3 linked regions of the Oryctolagus cuniculus genome follow. The protein of the gene in region 2 interacts with the protein of the main gene of each other region in a biochemical or structural test. Links are inferred from orthologs where the notes say so. Each region holds a gene or a part of one and is shown on either strand. Other genes may lie near its edges.

Region 1 (7,522 bases), on a different chromosome or scaffold from region 2:
GTACCAGTCCCAGCTCTGCTCCTAGTTCCAGCTTCCTGCTAATGAGCAACCTAGGTGGGTGGGGCAGATAGTACCTAAGCCATTGCCTGTGCCACTCTCATGGGAGACCTGGATTGAGCTCCTGGCTTATCGATTTAGGAAATGTACCAGCAAATGGGAGATCTGTCTCTCTGCCTTTTAAATAAATAAAACACAAAAAAAATTTCAAAAGACAAAGATTATTTTAAAAATTTAAATGTAAAAAAGTCTATCAATATAAACACAAATGGAAAAATATTGGTAAGTTTTGAGATGGGTGACATATATGTGGTAGTTCACTACACTGTGCTCTCTATTCTTATATATGTTTTTGAAAGTCTTTGAGAATGTTAAATTTCTAAAACTGTTCAGGTGTACCAAGTAGCTGTATCAAGTAGTCTTCGTAAGAAATAATTCTAGGGGCCAGCACTGTGGCGCAGCAGGTAAGGCTGCCGCCTGCAGGGCCGGCATGCCATATGGATGCTGGTTCAAGTCCCGGCTGCTCCACTTCCAATCCAGCTCTCTGCTGTGGCCTGGGAAAGTAGTAGAAGACAGCCCAGGTGCTTGGGCCCCTGCACTTGCATGGGAGACTGGGAAAAAGTCTCTGGCTCCTGGCTTCAGATCAGCGAAGCTCCGGCCGATGCAGCCATCTGGGGAGTGAACCAGCAGATGGAAGACCTCTCTCTCTCTCTCTCTCTCTGCCTCTCCTTCTCTGTGTAACTCTGATTTTCAAGTAAATAAATTATTTAAAAATTCAAAAAAAATTCTAAAATAAACCAGAAACATCAATTCATCAATAAGTTATCAGGAAACACCGAAATGAAGGTAGTCCTCAAATCAATAGAAAAACATAAGACCATATCTGCTTGGAAGTTACTGAGGAAATATTTCTAACACCATGAAGTCTATGTCTCTGTATTTTAAAATGTTATATAGTCAATGACTAATTAAAAAGATAAATTTTTAAGACGCTGGCACTGTAGCATAGAGGGCTAAGCCACCACCCACAGCACCAATATCCCATATGGGCACCAGTTCCAGTCCCACCTGCACCACTTCCAATCCAGCTCTCTTCTAATGTGCTTGGGAACACATCAGAAGATGGCCCAAATCCTTGGGTCCTTGCACCCTCGTGGGAGACCAGGATGAAGCTCCTGCCTTCAGTCTGGCCCACCCCTGGCTGCTGTAGCCATTTGGAGTGAACCAGTGGACGGAAGACTTCTCTGTCCCTGCCTCTCTAACTCCACCTTTCAAATAAATAAATAAATCTTTTTTTTTTTTCAAAATTAAAATTTTATTCTTAGAACTGAAAGGCACAAATTTTCTTTCCTTTTTTTTATTTGACAGGTAGAGTTATAGACAGTGAGAGAGAGAGACAGAGACAAAGGTCTTCCTTCCATTGGTTCCCTCTCCAAATGGCTGCCACACTGGCGCTGCGCCGATCCAAAGCCAAGAGCCAGGTACTTCCTCCCAGTCTCCCATGCGGGTGCAGGGCCCAAGCACTTGGGCCATTCTCCACTGCCCTCCCGGGCCACAGCAGAGAGCTGGACTGGAAGAGGAGCAACTGGGACTAGAACCTGGCACCCATATGGGATGCCGGTGCCGCAAGCGGAGGATTAACCAAGTGAGCCACGGCGCTGGCCCCTGGTACAAATTTTCTAGTTTAGTGGTTTGCAAACTTTTAGAGATATCCCAGCCACTTTATCTATCACTACATTTTATGTAACAGGGAGTGTATACAAAACACACAATTCTGTTTTTAAAAAGGATCTAGTTACCTAACAAAAAAAGACTTAAAACCCACTGTTATATTTCACCACTCACATTCTACAGTTCTAGAAAAGGTTAAAAAACATGTGTAATATCATTCAATTAATGGTAGTGTCAAGAACTGAATTTGGGGCCTTGACTATTTATCCAGTCTCCTTTAAAACAATACACCACCTCAATCTTTAGTATGAATAAAATTCTGTTTCAATGTTCTTGTCTGCAAAATAGTTATTAAAAAAAAAGATCATCTCTGAGATCATTTTTCAGATCTAAATTTCTGGCTCCATAAATGCCAAGCTTACACAGAGTCCTATATTAAGAGAATATTCTTGAACATAGCAGAAACACCCAAATATTCCTAAGGATGCCAGAGAAATACAAATCAAATACAGAAAATAAGCTGCTAATGATTCCGTCGCTGCTTTCTGAGTCCTGAAACTTTCTGCAACTTCTCCATCTTTTAGCTAATGCAAGAATATGAAACACTGTTCTCAAAATGACTGAAATAATTCTACTTAAAGTGGATTATTTTTGGTTATTAGATAATTCTAGAAAGGATACTAGCCTAACCATGATAAGCATCATCAACCATGAAGATGTTCAAACTGCCACATAGAAAATCAAGTACATATCATTCTCTTAAGTTTAAATAATTGAACTCAGAGGAGCATAACCAGCTGACACATACGGTCACAAATAAAGTTTTAATTCCTACCTATTAAAGCCTGAAAGAGGTTGCTCTGAAATATGTTAATAACCCGTTCTATGGAACTTCTGAGATGTCTGTCTTCAGTTTGGCTTAGTTTCAAACGATATTCTTCCAAAAGGTGCAAGGCTCTCTGGGTATCTGAGAAAAGAAGAGACTGATTAAAAGTGTATACATATTTACAAACTTTGCATGCTAGTGCACATGATTCCGCAAGGCATCTGAGCAGTTCTGCAATTTCTCTAGGTCAATCAACGGCAAAATGCTCATGTACACCTGTTCTCCAAAATGATCAGAAAACTGTTGGAACATGCATCCCAGTAGCAAAAGGAAGGAAGGAAGCAGTGTATAACAGATATGTACTGTTAGTCTGTCACAGTGAGAGTGTCTGATGCAAGTATTAGCAGCACCGTTTCAGATTACCTGATAAGCAAAAGCAGATTATCTACAAGTTGTCATTATACTTCAAATTTTAAGCGTTTCAAAATACTACTCTTAGCATCCCACAGCTGCTCACCCAATAGTGTTTACTAAGAGTGATAAAGTGAAATACTGAAAACCAATTCAGAGCTTTTTTTAAAGGGGCGGGGGGGGGGGCGGGACTAACTGCCTCTGGAATTTACTAGAGGAAGAAGAGTTGAACAGGTGTCAATCTTTGAAATGATGTGAGGCTTAGATTCCCCAAGCAATGACACTAGCTCCACAGTGTCTCGTCAAAGTTACACAAAGATTTTCAACACAGCAATCACAAAACTGACATCCACAAGAGTGTTCTGAAATAAATCCTCACCTTGCTTCCGGACCGGCATTTTTCTCCAGAATCAGGAAGCCCGCACACACCTTTGCAAACACAGAACGGAAAGAGAGGAAACAAAACAAAACTGAAAAATAGAATCGAGCAGAAACTAGCATTTCCTCGTTAAATCTCCAACCGAAAAAAAAAAAAAAGCCCTATTATCCAAAGCCCCCCTTCCAAAGTTTTCCCAAGTGAAAGGAACAGCCTCAAAACCCAGCAGTGTCAGCCCAGGTAGAAAGCGTTCTCCTCGGGGTGGATCCCCCCGCCAATGAAGACCAGACAATCAAGTCGGCTTCCCAGTTCTCTACAAAAGCTTCCCCCCACCTTACAGAGCACACTACCTGCCAGGCCGAGGGGCCGCCTCCCCACCTGCCCCCGGGGGCGGTGGGTATAGGGGCGCTCCGACCCTGGGCCCCTAGGGCGCCAGCGGCACCGAGCGCTCGGAAAAGGGACCCAGCCCTGCCCGAGCCCCCTCCTCTCGCTTGCCTTTCTCCTTGCTTGTTTCCTCCGGGCTACTCCGGCGGGGTCCGGACAGGGCAGCGGCCGCTCTCCGCGACGCCCTCGCGCCCCACATGCACACCTCCGCGGGCCCCCACACCTGCGGCGCTGCCACAAAGTTCCCGCGAGCGGCGTGCACTCGGAGCTGGGGTGCGCTCCGGGCCGAGTCGCAGCAGCTCCCCCGCCCAGCCCGGCTCCACGTACCCCCGCCCCGCCCGGGGCTCGAGGAGCTGAGCTGAGGGGGTGAGGGGACGGGGGAGGAGCTCCCCTCGGCGGCCGCACCCCCGCTGCCTCGTCCTCCTCCTCGGCCGCCGCAGCCGCCGCCTCCTCACACGCCGCGGCCAGCTAACCCGCTCGCCCTCTCGCTTGCTGGCCGCCCCACCCCCGGAACCTCGCCTCCTTCCGCGCCCCCGGTCGCTCTCCCCCCAAACTTTCCGCCAAGATGGCGGCCTCGGAGCTGGACTGCCGCGCTGCCACGTGACCGCTTTCCCGGCGCTCGCAGCCAATGGGAAGTGAGGAGGCGGCTCGCGCCCAGCCCCGGGCTCTCAGCACTGCTACCTTAGGGTTGAGAAGGGGAGGAGGACCGGGAGGAGGCTGGGGAACGCGAAGGGGGGCCCGGGGAGCATCCCGAGTGAACCTCCTCGCTTAAAGGGGCGGCCGCCCAAGAGGCTCGGAGGACAAAGGAGTTGACACACGGACTCTACAGGTGGTCCGGGGTTGCCCCTTTACCTCGCTGCACCCCACCGTGTGCCCCGCGGTTCTGGAGGTGCAGCGTGCGGGACTGGAAAGGCTCGGGGTCTCTGAAGACGGACGCGACCCCATCTACACTGGGTCCCAAACGCACATGCCGAAACACCCCTTAACCTGACCAAACACGTGCTCCACCCAACTCCACGACCGGACAGGGCGCCTGGCGCCGCCGGGGTGCCTCCTCAACTGCGCAAACCCCACTCGGGGAGGAGCCCACGGCGCCACCCACGTTAGGGGGCGGGGTAGCCGGCGCTTGGGAGAGGAGAAAGGAGGGGTGGGGAGGGGCGGGGGTGCCCTCTCCAGGCCACCTTCCCCGTCCTACTGATTGTCTAGAAGTTATTATGCGCCCCACTTTAAAGGTTTGAGACTTTTTCATTAAAGAAGGGCATGCGCAGTAGGGAGACCGGGAAATGTGGCACGAGTTTGAGGCTTTCAATAGAGGATATTTAAGTTGAGGTCTGGGTCCCAAGTCTGAGCGCACTGAAGGGTGACGAGAGAAGGTTCCTCGTTCACTGGCTCATTCCTGCATTCATCCCCCCAAGCCTGCCGTCCCCGCCCAGCCAGCACCTCAGGCGTGGCTCAGGCTCTGGAGGCCCCTTTAAGACCTCACCTCCGCCGGCCCGGCGCCCTTCAACTTTCTCGCGCACCTCGGAGCGGAACCGCCGGCCCGCTGGAGCCCTGCGGGCGGCAGAAGGGGAGGTACTGAGCGCTCCCCAGGTCACTGCCAGGTCTTCCGCTTCTTCTGGGGAAGCGGGACCTCCCTGCGCTGAGGTCCCGAAGGAAAACTTGACCAGAGTTAGTGACAGAGCTGGAAACCGGGAGATTTCTGTCCTTTGACCGGAACACTCTTCCCGGTGAACCCGACTGCCTTCCCCTCACACTGTGGCCATTGGCTAATAACGGGGAGTCCCGGGAGCCTCGTACCGTAACCGCAGCTGCGGCTCCGCGCTGCTGACCCCTGGGTTTCACTTTCTGATGCACCTTGGAATCCTAACTGGGGAGACGCCGAACACACTAGAGATCATCCAGACCCACTCTCTCGGTCTTGATGAAGAGACTGAGCTCCACAAAGGGGAAGCAAGTTGCCCGAGGACACGCAGGCTCTTCGGTGACAGAGCAGACCAACAACTCGGGGCTTCCCTCTGCAGGCCAGGGCTCTTTCCACCAGGCTTTTGGAGAACTTGACAGCGTCGTGTTGAAATATGAGAGAAGAGGAAGGAAAGTTTGCTGTAACCCTTGATACTACTCATGATTCACATATAAAGGTGCTTCCAAAATATTAATGGAAAATAGAATTAAAACATTGTAATGCCAAAAATGATACTTGCACATTTTCATAATACCCATTTGCCATGAACTTTTTGAAGACCCTTGTTTGCATGGATTTCAAAATTGTTTACGCCAAATAAGCTTATCTTTTACTTCTGTTTTTCACAAATCTTCTGATTTTCTTAAAAACTAATTTTTATTTATTTTATTTGTTTAAAAGACGAGAGGTAGGGAGGAGTAGAGAGAGATCTCTCATCTGCTGGTTCACTCCCCAAATGCCAACACCAGCTGGGGTTAAGCCAGGCTGAAGCAGGGAGCAGTGAACTCAATCTAAGTCTCCCATGTGGTTGTCAGGGACTCAAATACATGAACCATCACCTGCTGCCCACCCGGGTGTGCATTAGCAGGACGCTGGAGTCAGGAGCAGAGCCAAGACTTGAACCCATGCACTCTGATATGGGATGGGGCTGTTCCAAGTGGGTCTTAACCACTACACCAAATGCTCTCTCTTCACAAATCTTTCAAAATACTCTCACGTGTGCGCTTGCTAGGCAATGGGGAGAGAAAGAAATGAGACACAGGATCTGTTCTCAAGGATCCACAATCTCATGGCTGATAAACAAAAGCCAGTACAACTTTCCCAGAAGCCAGAAAAGGGGTCAAAAACAAATTGTGTGAGGATGAGGAGAAAAATAGGGCATGTTATTTATCAAGTCATCTACTGTGACTACCCTGTTCAGTTGTCAGGAGTGCCCAAAAGCAGGACTGGACCTCACACTAGCCCGAACTTAGGGCCAGGAAAGGTTCTGGCCACGTGGGAAGCATCATTACTCTTTACTCTCCTTTCTATCTGTCTGAGTTATTGGTTGCCACAGAACAGATTCCCCAAAGTTGAGTAGCTTAAAACTTAGCATGGGGCCGGCACTGTGGCATAGTGGATAAAGCTAAAATCTGCAGTGCCGGCATCCCATATGGGCACCAGTTCAACTCCCAGCTGCTCCACCTCTGATCCAGCTCTCTGCTATGGCCTGGGTGAGGAGAAGATGGCTCACGTGCTTGGGCCTCTGCGCCCGTATGGGAGACCCAGAAGAAGCTCCTGGCTCCTGGCTTCAGATCGGCACAGCTCTGGCCATTGCAGCCATCTGGGGAGTGGACCAGCGGATAGAAGACTCTCTCTCTGCCTCTGCCTCTCTGTAACTCTGCCTTTCAAATAAATAAATAAAACTTTTAAAATAAATAAATAAACAAAAAGATCCTATAATGAGGGCCAGTGCCATGGCACGACAGGTTAAAGCCCCAGCCTGCAATGCCAGCATCCCATATGGGAGCCACTTCAAGTCCCAGCTGCTCTACTTCCGACCCATCTCTCTGCTATGGCCTGGGAAAGCAAGAAGATGGTCCTGGTGCTTGGGTCCCCTGTACCCGCGTGGGAGACCCAGAAGGAGCTCCTCACTTCTGGCTTCAGATCAGCCCAGCTCCAGCCTTTGCAGCCATTTGGGGGAATGAACCAGCAGATGGAAGACCTTTCTGTCTCTCCCTCTGTCTGTAACTCTACCTCTCAAATAAATAAATAAATACATCTTTAAAAAAAATTAGTAGTGTAAGGACTCCAACAGTGATAAACATCATCTCACATTTCTATGGGTCAGGAACTCAGGGGCAGCTTAAATGGGCAGTTCTGGCTCAGAGTCTTATGAGGCCAAGATGTCTACCAA
Region 2 (6,904 bases):
CAGCTCCTGAGACTGCAGGAACTCGGTCACCAGGATGCCCAGGCTGTGCTGGTATGAGTATTCGGACGTGAGGATCTCGAAGATGGCCTGCGGCGGGACCGGAGGCTGCGGGCGGGCTCCCGGCTCTGGCGACATGGCTGTCGCGACACCCCTCCGGGAGCGGGAGCCCACCGTCCCGGGGCAGGGACGCCCACCCTCGCCCGAGGATTCTGATGCTGCCTGGCATGGGGCGAGGGCGCAGCCATCCTGAGAGCCCAGTGGAGGCCGCCCCTGGGCACTGTCCGTCCGTGTGGCTCTGGCCCTCCCCGCACGGCAGACCCAGCCCGCCCCACGCCCTCACCTCCTGCCTCTTGCGCTCCTCTGGGGTCAGCCTGTGCAGGATGCCCGACTCCACCACCTGGCGAGCACACAGCCCGGAGTCAGGAGGCTGCGCCCTCCAGAGACCCCGGAGAGAAACAGGGCGTCCAGCGCGGGGAGGGGCACTGGTCCCGAACACCTTCCCCGCAAAGAACAGGGCCACGGGGAGGGCGGGGGAGGTGGGGCCGTGGCTCAGTGCATGCTGGGAAGGCGACACGGCCAGCGCAGTGGGCACTGCCCGAGCTCCGCCCTGCAGGGCTCAGGGCTGACGGGACTGCAGGGCTGCAGCCTGGCTCCCCGTGGGCCACCTGCTCGGGGTGAGCCGTGCTCCGCTCCCCCCGGGGCTGCCAGCCCCCATGCCTGCAGCTCCCCCAGGCCAGGGTCTGATTGTCACACGTGCCACCCAGCCTGGGGGAGACCCACACCGTCCTCCCTGGCTGAGCCCCCACGGCTGGAAGCACCGGGGGACCCTCATCCACGAGGTGGAGAAGGAGCCCCACTGCACCCCAGCGGGAGAGCGGGCCAGGCCCAGCGGGCGGTCCAGATCCCGCCTGGGCTCCTGGGAAGCAGCACCCACTTCCTCACACACGGGGCTGTGGTTCAAGCCCTGCGCGCAGCCAGGCCCCCACCAGCCCCGTTTGCAGGTGTGGGGAGCGAGGGGCAGCCGGACTCGAGCTCAGGCCCCGCCCCTCTGTGCCCACCGCCCCCTGCAGGTCAGTGAGAGCAGGGCGCTGACCACGCCCACCCACACCCACACATGTGGTGGCAGGAGCTGCCTGGCCCTGGGTGGCTCCCCTCTCCCGGGGGTCACCAGGCAGGGCGGCTTGGGGGAGACCCCTAGGCCAGCTGCGCACAGGTGGGGCCCTCCGGCAAGGCTGCCCGCGGCCGCCCTGGGCGCAGCAGGCAGGGCCCCACCTCTGGCAGCTGGCTCCAGGTGAGCTGGGCCGGCCGGTAGCTTTCCACCACGATGTGGTCCGCCCTGGGCGTGTCCTCGGAGCCGGGCTGCACGTCCAGTACGTCCTCGTCCGACTCCTGGCCGGTGTTCAGCCCCCGCTCCCGGATCTCCTGGTAGAAGCGGGGGTCTGGGGCAGGGAGGAGGGGGTCTCCTGAGGGTGCGGGCTGTGGGCGGGGCAGGCGCCTTCCCCCACCCCCAGCAGGCCCGTGCGCGGCCATTACCACCCCCTCCTAGCCCCCGATGCCAGCGGGCTCCCCTCTGACGGACTCGAGCCGGGGTACACAGCAGGTGCGCCCTCTGACCTGGCCTCGGTCCCACCACCAGCAGGGCCACCGCGGGCCGGGCCGGGCATCCGTGGAGGGACTGGGCCGCGTCCTTGCCTTGGAACCCCGGGGAACTTTCTGGACCTTTGGCCCCCAGCAGAGCTGCGGTCAGAGCAGCTGTGGGGGCCTCGGGCCCTGGAAGGTCAGGGTGGGCTTGAGGTCCCGTGGCCCCCACCAGCCAGCGCCACGGCGGCAGCGCCGGCCTTTCCGCCCCCGAAGCCGCTCACCGTCCTTGAAGGAGCCCTTGTTTGCTCTTCTCCGCCCCAGCGTCCTCTGCAGTGAGAAACACAGCCGTCAGCCGGGGGTCCGGACTCCACGTGCAGAGCTGGGCCCAGTGTGTGTGTGTGGGGTGCCCTGCCCAGTATGCAGACGGTGCCCAATGTATGTCACTTCCACAAGGGCACGGGATGGGGCTCAGAGCAGGTAGGACATGTGACTGAGGACTGGGCGAGCCCAGGAAGGCTGCCTGGAGGAGGAGGAAGGTTGAGCTAGCGACAAGGTATGCTGGGGAGGGCGTGGGCTTGGAGTGAAGCCGACGCAGGGCAGGTGCGGCTGGGAAGGGGGGTGGGGCCTCTCAGGGCAGCAGGAAGAGCCTGGGGACCCCAGCGGCTGAGGTTCAGGGTGCAGGCGGTGACCGGGGGCCTTGGGGAGCCCCCCTCTGGCTGGGCCACACGACGGGCAGGTGTGCGGCTACCGGGAAAGCCGGGGCTGGTTCCTCGGAACGAGTTCGGACCTGAAACTCCCCTCGCCGCTTGGGAAGGTGCGGCACTCCCAGCACACCTGGCCAGGTCCCCTCCACCCCCCCGCCCCACCCCCGTGCCGCCCTCCTCGGGGGCTGGGCCCTGGCGTGGCCCCGCCCCTCCCCCACCTCGTCCGCCCGTCCCGGCCTCCCTCCCGCAGGTTCCTCCCGGGCCTCCTCTGCTCCCAGTGCCCAGCCGCCTGCCTTGGGCGCTCTCCGGGTCGGGCACGGCGCCCACCAGGCTCAGGGCGTTATCCTAGCGGGGGGGGGGGGGGCCGGGGAAACGTTCGCTGGATGTGGGACCCCCAGTGAGTGCGCGGGGCCGGTGCTGCGGCGCAGCGGGCTAAGCTGCCGCTCGCGATGCCTGCATCTCACGCCAGGGCACCTGGTCACACCCCAGCTGCTCCGCTCTGATCCAGCTCCCTGCTATGGCCTGGGAACACAGCGACGATGGTCAAGTGCTCGGGCCCCTGCACGCACGCGGGAGACCAGGATGGACCTCTGGGCTCCTGGCTTCAGCGTGGCCCAGTCCCGGCCATCGTGGCCATTTGGGGGTGAACCAGTGGGTGGAAGATTTTCTGTGTTTAAATAAATCACTCTTAAGAAACACCAGCGGATGCACGAGTGGCTCCTGGGGGCCTGACCGTGGTGGGCACGGGGCTGTCCCTGCCCCCATAGCGGCAGAAAGCTAGGACTGACACGGGCAGCCGGGGGCCCGCGGGGGTTTCGGGTTGACCCTCTGTCACCACACTTGGGGCCGGAGGCCTGGGCTGTCTGTGAGCAGCCACCGAGCAGGAGGCTGTCTACAGGTGGGCTGGCACCGGGGACGCCACGCTGGGGCCAACCCTCCGACAGCCGGTCCCAGCGTCTCCCAGGGCTGGGGCTGCAGCTGGCGCCCAGCGAATGCACACTTCCCACAGGCTGTGCGCTCCCAGCAGCCCTGGCCGCCTTCCAGCAGCTCAGGAGGGCCGGGGTGGGGCAGTGCCAGCTCCACTCGTCACCCGCATTTACCCGTGAGTACGCCGAGGCCCAGGGTCCCACGGCAGCCACAGCGCACCCAGGCCCTTCTCGGAGGCAGCCTACGAGCCTGGGCTGCTTCCAGCACAGACCGAGCGAGGTGCCCGCCAGTGACCCCCAGGCCCGGGCCCGCCCACCTCACCCCACCCCCAGGCAAGGACCCTGAGCCCCAGACCTGGAGGACGGTGCCCAGGGGCCAGGCTCACTGTGCCCGGTCTTCCGGCTCGGTGGCTGCCCACAGCAAACACCCAGCCTGGGCCACAGGGGACTGGTGACTCAGAGGGCAAGGGACACGGTCCAGGAGCTGCGGCAGCCCAGCTCTGACCCTGGGCCAGGGGACAAGGGGCGCTGCTTGCGGTACCCAGCCCGGGAAAGCAGGCTGTGCGTGCACATGTGTGTGTGTGTGCACGCCTGTGTGTACGTGCACACCTGTGTGGGCGTGTGTACATGTGTGTGCACGCCTGTGTGTACATGAGTGCACCTATGTGGGCGTGTGTATATGTGTGTGTACATGTGTGCCTATGTGGGCGTGTGTGCCTGTGTGTACATATGTGCACCTATGTGGGCATGTGAACCTATGTGTACACGCCTGTGTACATGTGCGTATATGTGGGCATGTGTACATGTGTGCCTATGTGTATATGTGTGCACCTATGTGTGCATGTCTATGCACTTATGTGCATACCTGTATGTGTACATGCGATCGTAAGTATCTGCACATTTGTGTTACGTGTGTCCTTGCGTGTGTTTCGGGATGTGTGTACATGTGTGCATGCCTGTGCATGTGTGCATCTGTGTGTTCCATGTGCCCGTGCAATGCGTGTTCATGTGTGCATGCATGTGCATGTGTGTACATATGTGTGCGTGTGTGCCTGTGCATGTGTGTGCGTGTGTGCCTGTGCATGTATGTACATGTGTGCCTGTGCATGTGTGTACATATGTGTGCGTGTGTGCCTGTGCATGTGTGTGCATGCACGCAGAGGGAATGCAGCTCCTCCCAAGGCAGGGGAGGGCGAGCAGCTGCCCCTCCCTGCGGGGGCGCTCAGGAAGCGCCTGCTGGACGTGGGAGTTGGTGAGTGGGGGAGGGGGCAGGGAGCTCGTTCTGGGTGGCTGCTGAGTCCCACCGAGCTGGCCCGGCTCCCACGGGGGCTCTGCTCTCCACTGGCTGGGAGCGGGGCCGACACAGCTGGAGGCCAGCCTCGGCTGCCCTGTCTGTAAAGTGGGTTATTCACAATCGCAGCCTGGCTATTGGGTTTAACTGGAATAGTCCAGCCCAGAGCCTGCGCACGGCAGGTGCTCACTGAACGTGAGCGGTGCTGCAGGAGGTGGGCAGGACCCCACCCCCAGCTGTGCGCTCCCAGGCCCTGGAGGCACCCCCCACCGCGTCCGGGCAGCAGGTCCCCTACCTTGTTTTTGGCTGGACACCGGGCAGGAGGCTGGCTGGGCTCCTCGGCCAGAGCCTGGAGCCGGGGGCTGAGCTGGGTGGGGTCCCCCTTGCTGCCTGGCGTGGCCAGAACCTTCATGGCTGCCCGGTAGGACTGGTTCCGCAGGTTCCGCCTGAGCATCCCCCCGGGGCCCGTGTCCACATCCATGTCGTCCAGGGAGAAGCTGGGGGCCGAGAGGACCCGGGGGTCCCGCCGGGCGGCCTCCTTGCTGAGCATGGCGGCCCCGAAGCTCTGGTGCCGGGCGGGGCTCTTGGCCTTGCTGGCCACGGCCAGGCTGCGGGGTATCAGCTGCTGGGTGCCCATCTTGAGGGCGGCGGGGCTCTGCGTGCTCAGGATGACCGGTGGGGGCTCCTCGTGCCCTGGGGGAGCGGGGGCGTCAGGCTGGAAGGCGGCGCTGGGCCGGGCCGGCAGGGAGCCCCGGACCACGGGGAGCGCGGGTGCCGGGTTCCCGCTGGCATCGAGCCGCAGCTCTGAGTGGAAGCGGTGCTCCAGCAGCTTCTCCTCCAAGGAGCTGTCAGAGTGCCTCTGGGCCATGGCGGCGGTCCTGGGGGAGGGGAGGGCTCTCAGGAGGGAGGCGCCCACCAGGCAGGTCCTGGGGGGGAGGGGGAGGGGGAGGGCTCTCAGGAGGGAGGCGCCCACCGGGCAGGTCCTGGGAGAGGGGGAGGGGTCTCAGGAGGGAGGCGCCCACTTGCCCCCCTCCCCCGGGGGCCACCTGTCTGTCCTGGCGTGTGCCCCGCCCACAGTCCACAGTGAGAGGTCTGATGGCAGCCGGGAGCGCTGGCCGTGGGCGCAGCCCTGTCACTGCCAGGCCGAGCAGCCTCACACCTGCTCCTGGCCCAGAGAGCTGGGAGGAGGGCCGGGAGGAGGGCAGGGAGGAGGTCAGGGAGGAGGGCGGGAGGAGGGCAGGGAGGAGGGCAGGGAGGAGGGCAGGGAGGAGGGCTGGGAGGAGGGCAGGGAGGAGGGCTGGGAGGAGGGCAGGGAGGAGGGCCGGGAAGAGGGCCGCGCCTGCAGGGCCCCGCTGGCGGGACGGGGGCAGGCGGTACCTGCCACACCCAGGAGGCCACCCTGCCTCCCGACAGCACAGAGGGCAGGTCTGAAGCTGGAGGGAGTGCCGGCGGTGACACGTCCCCTGGGCTGTCTGCGGGGCCCCTGCTCCTGGCAGGACGCAGGCTCACCCCTCACCACGCTGGGAACTTGGGATGGGGCTGCGAAGCCAGCCTGCACGGCCCCCGTCACCGTGTGGCTGTAGAGGCGCCGGCCCCGGGACACACGCCCGGCGCAGGGCCTGGCGGACATCACACGGCCCCGTCTCCTCCCTTCACGTTCTGCAAACGCTGGGGCCGCCGAGCGCGCCTAAGGTGATCCGGGGCGAGCGCTGAGCGCTGAAAGCCACACGTGTAGCTTAACACGCGTGCCCATGAATTCCTAAGATTATTTTGGTGCAAACTAACTTTTGTTTTAAAAGATTTATTTGAAAGAGTTACAGAGAGAGGCCCTCCATCCCCTGGTTCACTCCCAAGTGACCGCAACGGCCAGAGCTGCGCCAGGAGCCAGGAGCTTCTTCCTGGTCTCCCACACGTGTGCAGGGGCCCAGAGGCTTGGGCCACCTTCTGCTGCTTTCCCAGGCCACATCAAAGAGCTGGATGGGAAGTGGAGCAGCCGGGACTCGAACCAGCGCCCACATGGGATGCCGGTGATGCAGGCAGTGGCTTTACCCGCTACACCACGGTGCCAGCCCCCCATTTTTTTTAAGATCCCTCACACACATGAATTTCAATATTTTTTTTGCACCAAAACAACCTCTGAATTCTGTTTTTTCCAGGGACTTTCTGAAATGCCCTCATGGGAGCCGAACTTTCCCAGACCTAAGGTCACTTCCTCAAGGTGGCAGGGAGCCCTGGGCGCCGGGCTGGGCCGCAAAGCCGCCTTGTCCCTTCGCTGTGGCCCCCTCCCACCCTAGCAGGGACTGGGGGCACAGCCAGAGGTCCCAGCCCCCACCCAACTCACACACACCTGCTGCCCAGCCCTGCCAGCGCTCCCCAGGGAGTCAGAGGCCCAGCACTCCCTG
Region 3 (7,662 bases), on a different chromosome or scaffold from region 2:
AACCCCATCTGGGGTGTTCTGCTGCCTGCCCAGGTGCATTAGCAGAGTGGACTGAAAGTGGAGCAGCTGGGACTGGAACTATCGCTCCAATATGGAACGGAGACACTCAGGCGTGGCTTAATGTGCTGCACCACAATGGCTGCCCCCAGGTTCAGCGTTCATTTGGCAAGGGTTGCCCCGGAAACCTACTGCCTTGGAGGACTTATTCAACCTCATTGTTTCCTCAAGGCCAGCCCAGCCTTCCAGGCGGCCTCTACTGCGTGTCCAGGGCCCCTGGCTCTGAGATGCTTGCGGCCCTGTCCCAGCCCACGGGCAGTGCTGCACTGTGCCCGCGTCTCACCTTTCCCCTGCACAATCTCACTGATCTACAGACTGGCCGCTAGGGGGCAGACGTGAGGCAGGAGCGGCATTGCTCAAGCCCTGTTCACTCTGGGCCCACACTGCTTCCCGGGAGGGCGAGAGCTCCCGCCCCTCAGGAGCTCCTCCCGCATCTGTGTATCGCCTGAGTGTCACGCTTGAGCCCAGCCTACGCCTGCCCACCTGGTATTTTCCTAGAGATTGAGAAATGCCTTTGGGCGCACCCTGGCTGGTGGGAGACTTGTACACTGGGTGGGCTCCGTATGACATGACGGGGACCCAGCTGAGAGAGAGCCAAGTGCCCTGGCCCTGATGCTGGGGTCTTCCTCCTTCCTCCGCGGGAACAGCTGTGAAGGGGGAGCAAGATCTCTGGGTGTCAGAGCAGCCAGCCAGTGCTCCCACATCGCGCCACGTGGAAAGGCGTCTTCAACGTCTGGGAGGGCTCCTTCTGGTCTAAGCCACCCCCTCCCTAGAGCTGCAGCTCCCCTCAGGGCAGTCACCTGGGGCCCCAGGAACACCTGTTCTCCCCTTTCTGCCTGCTGTCCCCCGAGGCCAGGGAAGGCGGCAGAGACCGTGGGGGGCGTCCAAGATGTGCATTCTCGGATACTTTCATGTAATTCTAAAACAATAAATAAAAGATGTCCATTTTAAACCTGGCCTGATTTTAGAAGAAGAGACTGAAAGAGGCAGACCCAACAGTGAGTAAGCACTGTAGCATGTTCCTCATTATCTGGCAGAGAAATTCAAACTCAAGCGTGGAAACCCTTGAAATGGGCCTATGTTATGCGTGAAGACTGGGAAGGCACGGGTCAAACTGACACTTTTCAATCAACGAGTAGAAGCTGGTGACTCCGGAACCCAGCTTTTAGCCTGTGCCCGGGCGGCCTGTTAAATCCCCTCAAAATGCTGCGAACCGGAAGGCACTCAGTGCCCAACAGGGCAGGGTCTGCTCAAGGCCAGGCTTCCTGCCGCCTCTGCCTCAGGACTGGCTCTCCCTCCCCCTCCAACGCCTGGAGAGAGGGGCAGGCGGGCAGACCTGAACCGGGCGCTTCAGGGGTGGACGGAGGAGCAGCTCCTTGGCTTTGTGCCGAGCCTTTGGCCTGGGGCCCGGACGGAATTCAGGCCGGGTCCCAGATCCCCTTCCATGGTCGGCCGGGGCCACCTAGGCTCAGTAAATGAAACGGGCGCTTGGGTCCAGGCTCTTGAATTCCTGTCCCATCTAATGATGAGACAGCCCCTCCCCTCCAGGCTGCAGACGCAGCGGTGTCTGCTGCCGCGGTCCTGGGCCTCCACGTCCCCCTGGGCTGGGCCAGGGCCCTACCACTCTCTCCTGATACCACTCACCACAGAGAGTATTGCTCTCCCCAGGCAGACTATCAATTCTTGCAGCAACCTGTTCATTACTGCGACTCTGGAGCAGTATTTACTTCTCGATTAGGCACTCGCACTTAAGATAACCCTCCTGAAAAGAAAGGTGATGGATTAACACAGGCAGAGGTATCCCCATGTTAAAACACCCAGTTTAGCTTGGATTTGCTTTTTCTTATGGGAAAGGCAGCACAGTGTCGCCAGGTGAAAGGGATCTGAAGTGACACAGTTCTCCCTCCAGGCACACTCGGCCAACGAGAGCAAGTTACGAGACCAAGGCCTGACACCTGGCCCTGGGCCTTCCCAGCGAGCAGCATTTCTGGTCCTCACTGAGCCCCAGCCACAGCAGCCCCTTAGTGAGGCAGTAGACTGCCAGGAGCAAGGGGGCTAGAGGCCGGCGCTGTGGGTTAAAGCCCCGGCCTGCAGCGCCAGCATCCCCTGTGGGCGCCGGTTCCAGTCCCGGCTGCCCGACTTCCAACCCAGGTCCCTGGGAAAGCAGCATGCACCCGGAGACCCAGAAGAGGCTCCAGGTCAGCTCCAGCTGCTGCGTCCATAAAAGGGAGTGATAAATAGTGGATGGAAGATCTTTCTCTCTCTCCCTCCCCCTCCCCTCACTTCCCTCCCTCTCCCCCCTCTTCCCTCCCTGTAACAAATTAAAAAAATAAACAGAATCGAGTGAGATCAAAGCCCACCCAGCACTACCATGCCGTCTATAGCTCCTAGACGCTACCCCAAGCTGGCCAGGTTAGCGCCCAGTCCCCAGCCCCCACCTGTTCGGCTTCCGCACCCAGCCCGTGCGCTAGAGGAGGAGAGAGGGTCCAACAAAGCGTCTCACACTTCATTTAATCTGAAAACATTACGGGCTCGTCGTCCTCAGAGATAAGTTATGTATAACGTTACAGAACAAGCAGCGAACTCAACACTTTGAAAACCTCGGCGAGTCTACGCGGAGCGCCGCCGACCGGGTCCCGCCCTCGCTCAGTAGACGTGCACCATGCCGTAGAGGAAGGTCCAGAAGAGGACGTAGGTGAAGAGGCCTCCGATGAGGCCGCCCGTGAAGAGCGGCCGCCGCGACTTGAAGTACTTGTTCCACCGCCTGCCCGCCTTGAGGATCAGGAGCAGGGAGAGCAGGACGGAGGCGAGCAGGTAGAAGATGAAGCCGTAGAGGCCGGTGAGGCCGAGGATGCCGGCCGTGGCCCCCGACAGCGCCGACACCGAGGTCCGGCAGTAGTCCAGCACGGCCGCGTTGCCCCGCACGGCTGCCTCGCTGATGAACGGCGGCCCTTCCCTCTTGCCCACCACCGCGGCCATCGCACCCGCCGGGGCTCGGCCTGGGCTCTCTCGCGGAACGAGGCGCGGCTGTGGGGAAAACCGAGTTACAAGTGGCGCCCGGAGCGCGGCGAGTAGGGTCCATGGCCTCCCCCTCCCCCTGGGGCTTCCGAGACCTGGCGCTAGTCCTGGATCTCCGTCTCCCCAAAGACGCCGAGGACGCTGACGGCTCTTGCCGGCCGGGAGAACGGGGACACGCCTGTGTCCCCTAGCCAGGAGAGCCCCGTTACCTGGAACACGGCGGGCGGATAGTCCCAGCGTTCCCTCACACAGGAAGCAGGACAGACCCCCGGGACGCCATCTTGTGCTGGAGGATGCTGGGAGGGCCCGTTACGCATGCGCGCTGGCTCAACTACGCCTCTCGCGCCTGCGCGCCGGGCACGCTCCACCCTCTCCCCGCTTTTCTACGCACGCTCCGGGACTTCCGAAAGCCGAACAGCGCTCCGGCCGGTGATTGGCTGGAGATCTGTTAACTATTCATAAGGGGGCGTGCCCAGCCAGGGTGCCTTTGTTAACCAGGGAGGGAGCGGCCGCGGCAATCCCAGCTGCGGGCTTCGCTGAGCGGTCCCCGGTTACCAGATTGGGATCGAGATGTCCTACATCCCGGGCCAGCCGGTCACTGCGGTGGTGGTGAGTGTACTCGCGCGGGCTCTTTTTCGTCTCGACTTGCCCCCATTTTTCAGAGCGGTAAACTGACACCCAGTCAGGTTGCAAAGCAGCGAACCGGGGCGGGGGCCCGTGCAAACCCGCTGTCAGGGCTCGGGTCTCTGCAGGAGCGCGGCCGCAGCCTCCTCCGGCCACGAAGCTCATTCTGGGGGCTAGGAGCCTCCCGAGGCTCCAGACGGAGGCCAGACTCCGCGCACCGTCGCCCAAGAGGCAGGCTGCTTTGGCCTGCCGGCGCGGGGAGCACGGGGGAGCAAGGCTCCGGATGCGGGCGTCTGGGAAAGCGCCCCTTCGCAGGGCTTCGGTGCCCCCAGCTGGGCAGCCGCGGGGGGCGGGCGCCGGCCCGACGTCCGTGAGTCGCAGCCTCTGGAATGAGGAAGTGCTTCCTCCGCTCCAGCCGGCGCCACCGCCCCGAGGAGCGAGATTTGGGGGTGGGGCTGGCCGGAGGGAGGCCCCTGCCCCATTGGAGTGAATGCGCACCCTACCAGCCAGATCCTTTTCTCAGCTGCTGGATCCCCAGCCCTTGGGGCCAGGGGCAGGTCTCCCGCCTGGCACTTTCGGCGCACCGTGTGCCAGGTGCTGTCAGAACAGGCGAAGGGAGAAAGGGAGCTGACACCCACACGTCTGTGTCCCAGCTGAGTAGGCCCTGGAGGCCACCCCCTCCCCCTCCCGCAGAGTCCCAGAAAGAAGTCCGGTTACGCCCAGCCATAAAGGAAGCCGCCAGGAAGGACCCAGGTCTCCTGCCCAGCTCCCCAGAGGTTTCCGCCTGTGAGAGGTCAAGCCAAAGTCCCAGCCCTGGAGCCGCAGGGACTGGCTGTGCTATCTCCCATGGGCTCCTGCAGCCAGGCAAAGAGGCTGCTGATAAAGGTGGCACGAGGGTGAACTTGGAGAAGGCCCTGCTTAGCTACTGACAGCCGTCCTGAGCCTCACCCTGCGGGCACCAGCTTAGCTCTGCAGAGCCCAACAGCTGCCCAGAGGCTAGGGGTCAGCTTTGCTTCTCAAGTGGAATAAAGGTGGTGCAAGGGAGGGGCCAGAGAGCACCCAGCGAGGCAGTGCCAGAGCCCTCCCACCTCAAGGGCTGTGCGCTTTTCTCCCTTGAGGGCATGTGCTGGAGGAGGTGGGATGGACCTGCAGGAGCCCTCTTTTGGGTACTGGACCCAGTGGGCCTCAGGGTTCATGCTTCCTCCTCCCCACCCCATGCCACAGGTGGGCCCAAGGTCTTCCTTCAGGCTGTAAGACTATGCCGCGCCCAGGTCTGCAGCACCAGGAGCCGCCTGGGTGGGCCTGGCCTCTCCCTGACCATCTGCCTCCTGGACACCTTCCCGGATGGCTCCTAGCACTCCAGCCCCACCTGCTCCTTCTCCTGGGTCCCCCCATTGGAATGTTGCCGTGTTCAGCATTCCTGTCCCCAGGCTTCCACCCCAGCCTCTGAGGCACCTGCTCTGACTGCCCAAGTAGTTGTTCTAGCCTCAAACTTGACCATGCCCTGTCCTACTCCCCAAGCCTGGTCAGCTCCCCTGGGTTCCAGGGTCAAGGCCAGGCAGCCAAACTCCTGATCATCCTCTCAAGTCCTGGTTCAAAATGATCCCTCCTTGGTGAAGCCTCCTCAGGGCCGAGCAAGTCACCTTCCCTCCCCCCCAGCTCCCAGCTTTGATCTGGTGTGGCTCCCAGCAGTGACTTGAGGGTGCCTGCTGAAGGCTCTGAGCACCCCAGCCCCAGAGCATGTTGGGAGAGCCCCAGAACACTTCTCTGCCACCTGCACTGTGCATGAGCAGGGCCCGGGGCTCCAGGAGACCCCTGACCTCATCTGGGACCAGTCTGGTGGTCCTGCATCCCAGACTTCTCTGTCTGGCACCAGCCCCATCTCACCTTGCAGGTGCCAGTGTCACAAACGTCCAGCATCTGCAGTCCTCTTCTGTCCCCGGCTGATCTGCTCCACTTTGTCCCAGCACCTCCTGCCTTGCTTGTGACAGGCTGGCTCCCAACGGCAGTGTCACCTTTTCAGGGCCTGGCCCTTCCCACCCCGTGTCCTAGGTGGAGCCCTGGCTCATAGGCCAGGAGGGGCTGTGAGCACTTGTGACTAAGACTGGCACCTGAGACTGGGAAGGGGGAAAGTGGAGGGCAGGACTGGGTGAGGGGGTCAGCCTCCAGGGCTGGGGACCAGCTGCATTCCTGTAGGGGACTCCGGGCCCCACCCCTTGGCACGGCTCGGAGCTGGCCTGGCACTACCAGAGGCCTTCTCTACATGCCCACCTAAGCCAGCTTCCTTTTTTGTTTGCCAGCAAAGAGTTGAAATTCACAAGCTGCGTCAAGGGGAGAACTTAATCCTGGGCTTCAGCATTGGAGGGGGCATTGACCAGGATCCCTCCCAGAACCCCTTCTCGGAGGACAAGACAGACAAGGTGAGGGGGACCGGAGGCCTGAGAGGGTGGGCACTGCTTCCTGGGCCTGTGTGGGAAGAGCAGACCCCATCTCAGAGGGTCCAGGAAATGATCGGCTGGGAAAGAGTAGGGGTGGAGGTCGGTCTGCCCAGCTGCCCAGGAGGAGCGGGAGGTGGCCCTCAGCCAGGGCTGGGGCATCCCTGGTTGCTTGGCATAGCCTTCACCAGCTGTGTGCCAGGGGAGGCTGGGGACAGGGACAGAGGGACAGCTATGGGTGTGCTATACTGGGCCTCCTCTGTGTATGAGAGCCAGTCCAGGGGCCACAGGGCCTGACCCAGGCTTCTCTTCCCAGGGCATTTATGTCACACGGGTGTCTGAAGGAGGCCCTGCTGAAATTGCTGGCCTGCAGATTGGAGACAAGATCATGCAGGTAACAGGTGTCCCAGAGGAGGAAAACATGGCTGGGGCTAGAGGGGTTGAAACACTTGTGGGTGGGGGCTGGGAGACACTCACCAAAGCCCTTTGGAGCCCATGCTGGTACTGCCCCGGAGGAAGCCGGCTCTCCTCTGTGTACTTCAGGGACGCTAGGTGGAGGGGTGACCCAGGCCTCTTAAAGCCCCCTGGCCTCTAGATGTCAGAGGGCAGTGGGCTGAGCTGGGCTGTTCTCTCCGTGGGCCAGGTGAACGGCTGGGACATGACCATGGTCACACACGACCAGGCCCGGAAGCGGCTCACCAAGCGGTCGGAGGAGGTGGTGCGCTTGCTGGTGACGCGGCAGTCGCTGCAGAAGGCCGTGCAGCAGTCCATGCTCTCCTAGCAGCCCGCCAGGCTCCCTGGCTCGTGCCTGTTTGTATAGCGACACCACTACCCACGCGCTATCTGTCCCACGTCCCGCCTGTGGCTGAATGCTGAGCCGCAGCTGATCCCAGAGGCCTGATCCCGCCTCCCTGTCACACTCCCGCCCCCAGCCCGAGGCCTCTGGGACCAGCTGGCTCCCTCGGAAACTGAGGGCTGGGAAGAAGGGTCTGGGGCCAAGTGGCTTCCAGGCTGCAGTGACCCTAGGCTCAGCCCCCAGACCCTGCTGCCTGCACAGCAGTGCCCCAGGGAAGCCGGAAAGACTTCCTGAGAGCCGCCAAAGCTGGGGAAGGCTGGTGGGGGGACGCCTTTCCCACCCTGCCCTGCCTCCCGTGTCACCTCCGCAGTGCCTGCGCCCCACACTTTCTCCGTGTTGTCCACTAGGGGCTGGACCCATGCTGCCAGAGGCACTGGGAAGGCCTGCCCCAGGGGAGGCAGGCAGGCCCCTTGTTCACCCCACTTCCCAGGGGTGGCCTCCCTGGGGCCTGCCTGCCTGCAGGATTTAGCAGAGCTCTGAGGCGGACATCTCAGGATTGCCACTGTCCTCCACGCCTGTGGGTTTAACTTTTGTATTTTTTTAGTCCAACTTTGATACAAAGCCTTTTTATTGTACTGTTTGGAGATGCCCACTCTGCTCTGTAATTTAGCTTACTAATTCACATCCAGGGCAGCTCCTAGCAAGTGGACAGGCCTCACTCTGGTTACCATG

The links. The genes of interacting proteins can lie anywhere in the genome.
Region 1: the proteins of ARHGEF16 (region 2) and DLG1 interact in a test that uses a peptide from one of them, tested with the Homo sapiens proteins (2 studies listed by IntAct, with this or other methods). The link is inferred for Oryctolagus cuniculus from reciprocal best matches to the Homo sapiens genes ARHGEF16 and DLG1.
Region 3: the proteins of ARHGEF16 (region 2) and TAX1BP3 form a complex in vitro, tested with the Homo sapiens proteins (2 studies listed by BioGRID and IntAct, with this or other methods). The link is inferred for Oryctolagus cuniculus from reciprocal best matches to the Homo sapiens genes ARHGEF16 and TAX1BP3.

What each region holds. Positions count from the first base shown.
Region 1 is NC_091435.1:83,756,663-83,764,184, forward strand, and holds the start of DLG1 (disks large homolog 1), read right to left. Parts: upstream 4,233-7,522; 5' UTR 3,865-4,232; coding exon 3,777-3,864; intron 3,335-3,776; exon of another isoform or gene 3,304-3,334; coding exon of another isoform or gene 3,285-3,303; intron 2,636-3,284; coding exon 2,504-2,635; intron 1-2,503. UniProt on the Homo sapiens protein: Essential multidomain scaffolding protein required for normal development. Recruits channels, receptors and signaling molecules to discrete plasma membrane domains in polarized cells.
Region 2 is NC_091438.1:162,949,524-162,956,427, forward strand, and holds part of ARHGEF16 (rho guanine nucleotide exchange factor 16), read right to left. Parts: intron 5,381-6,904; 5' UTR 5,371-5,380; coding exon 4,798-5,370; intron 1,909-4,797; coding exon 1,863-1,908; intron 1,440-1,862; coding exon 1,273-1,439; intron 398-1,272; coding exon 341-397; intron 88-340; coding exon 1-87. UniProt on the Homo sapiens protein: Guanyl-nucleotide exchange factor of the RHOG GTPase stimulating the exchange of RHOG-associated GDP for GTP. May play a role in chemotactic cell migration by mediating the activation of RAC1 by EPHA2.
Region 3 is NC_091448.1:48,983,577-48,991,238, reverse strand, and holds the start of TAX1BP3 (tax1-binding protein 3), read left to right. Parts: upstream 1-3,430; 5' UTR 3,431-3,645; coding exon 3,646-3,684; intron 3,685-5,586; exon of another isoform or gene 5,587-5,759; intron 5,760-5,999; coding exon 6,000-6,119; intron 6,120-6,450; coding exon 6,451-6,528; intron 6,529-6,611; exon of another isoform or gene 6,612-6,777; coding exon 6,778-6,915; 3' UTR 6,916-7,662. Other genes in the region: EMC6 (ER membrane protein complex subunit 6), read right to left, coding at 2,704-3,084, 3,285-3,392. UniProt on the Homo sapiens protein: May regulate a number of protein-protein interactions by competing for PDZ domain binding sites. Binds CTNNB1 and may thereby act as an inhibitor of the Wnt signaling pathway. Competes with LIN7A for KCNJ4 binding, and thereby promotes KCNJ4 internalization.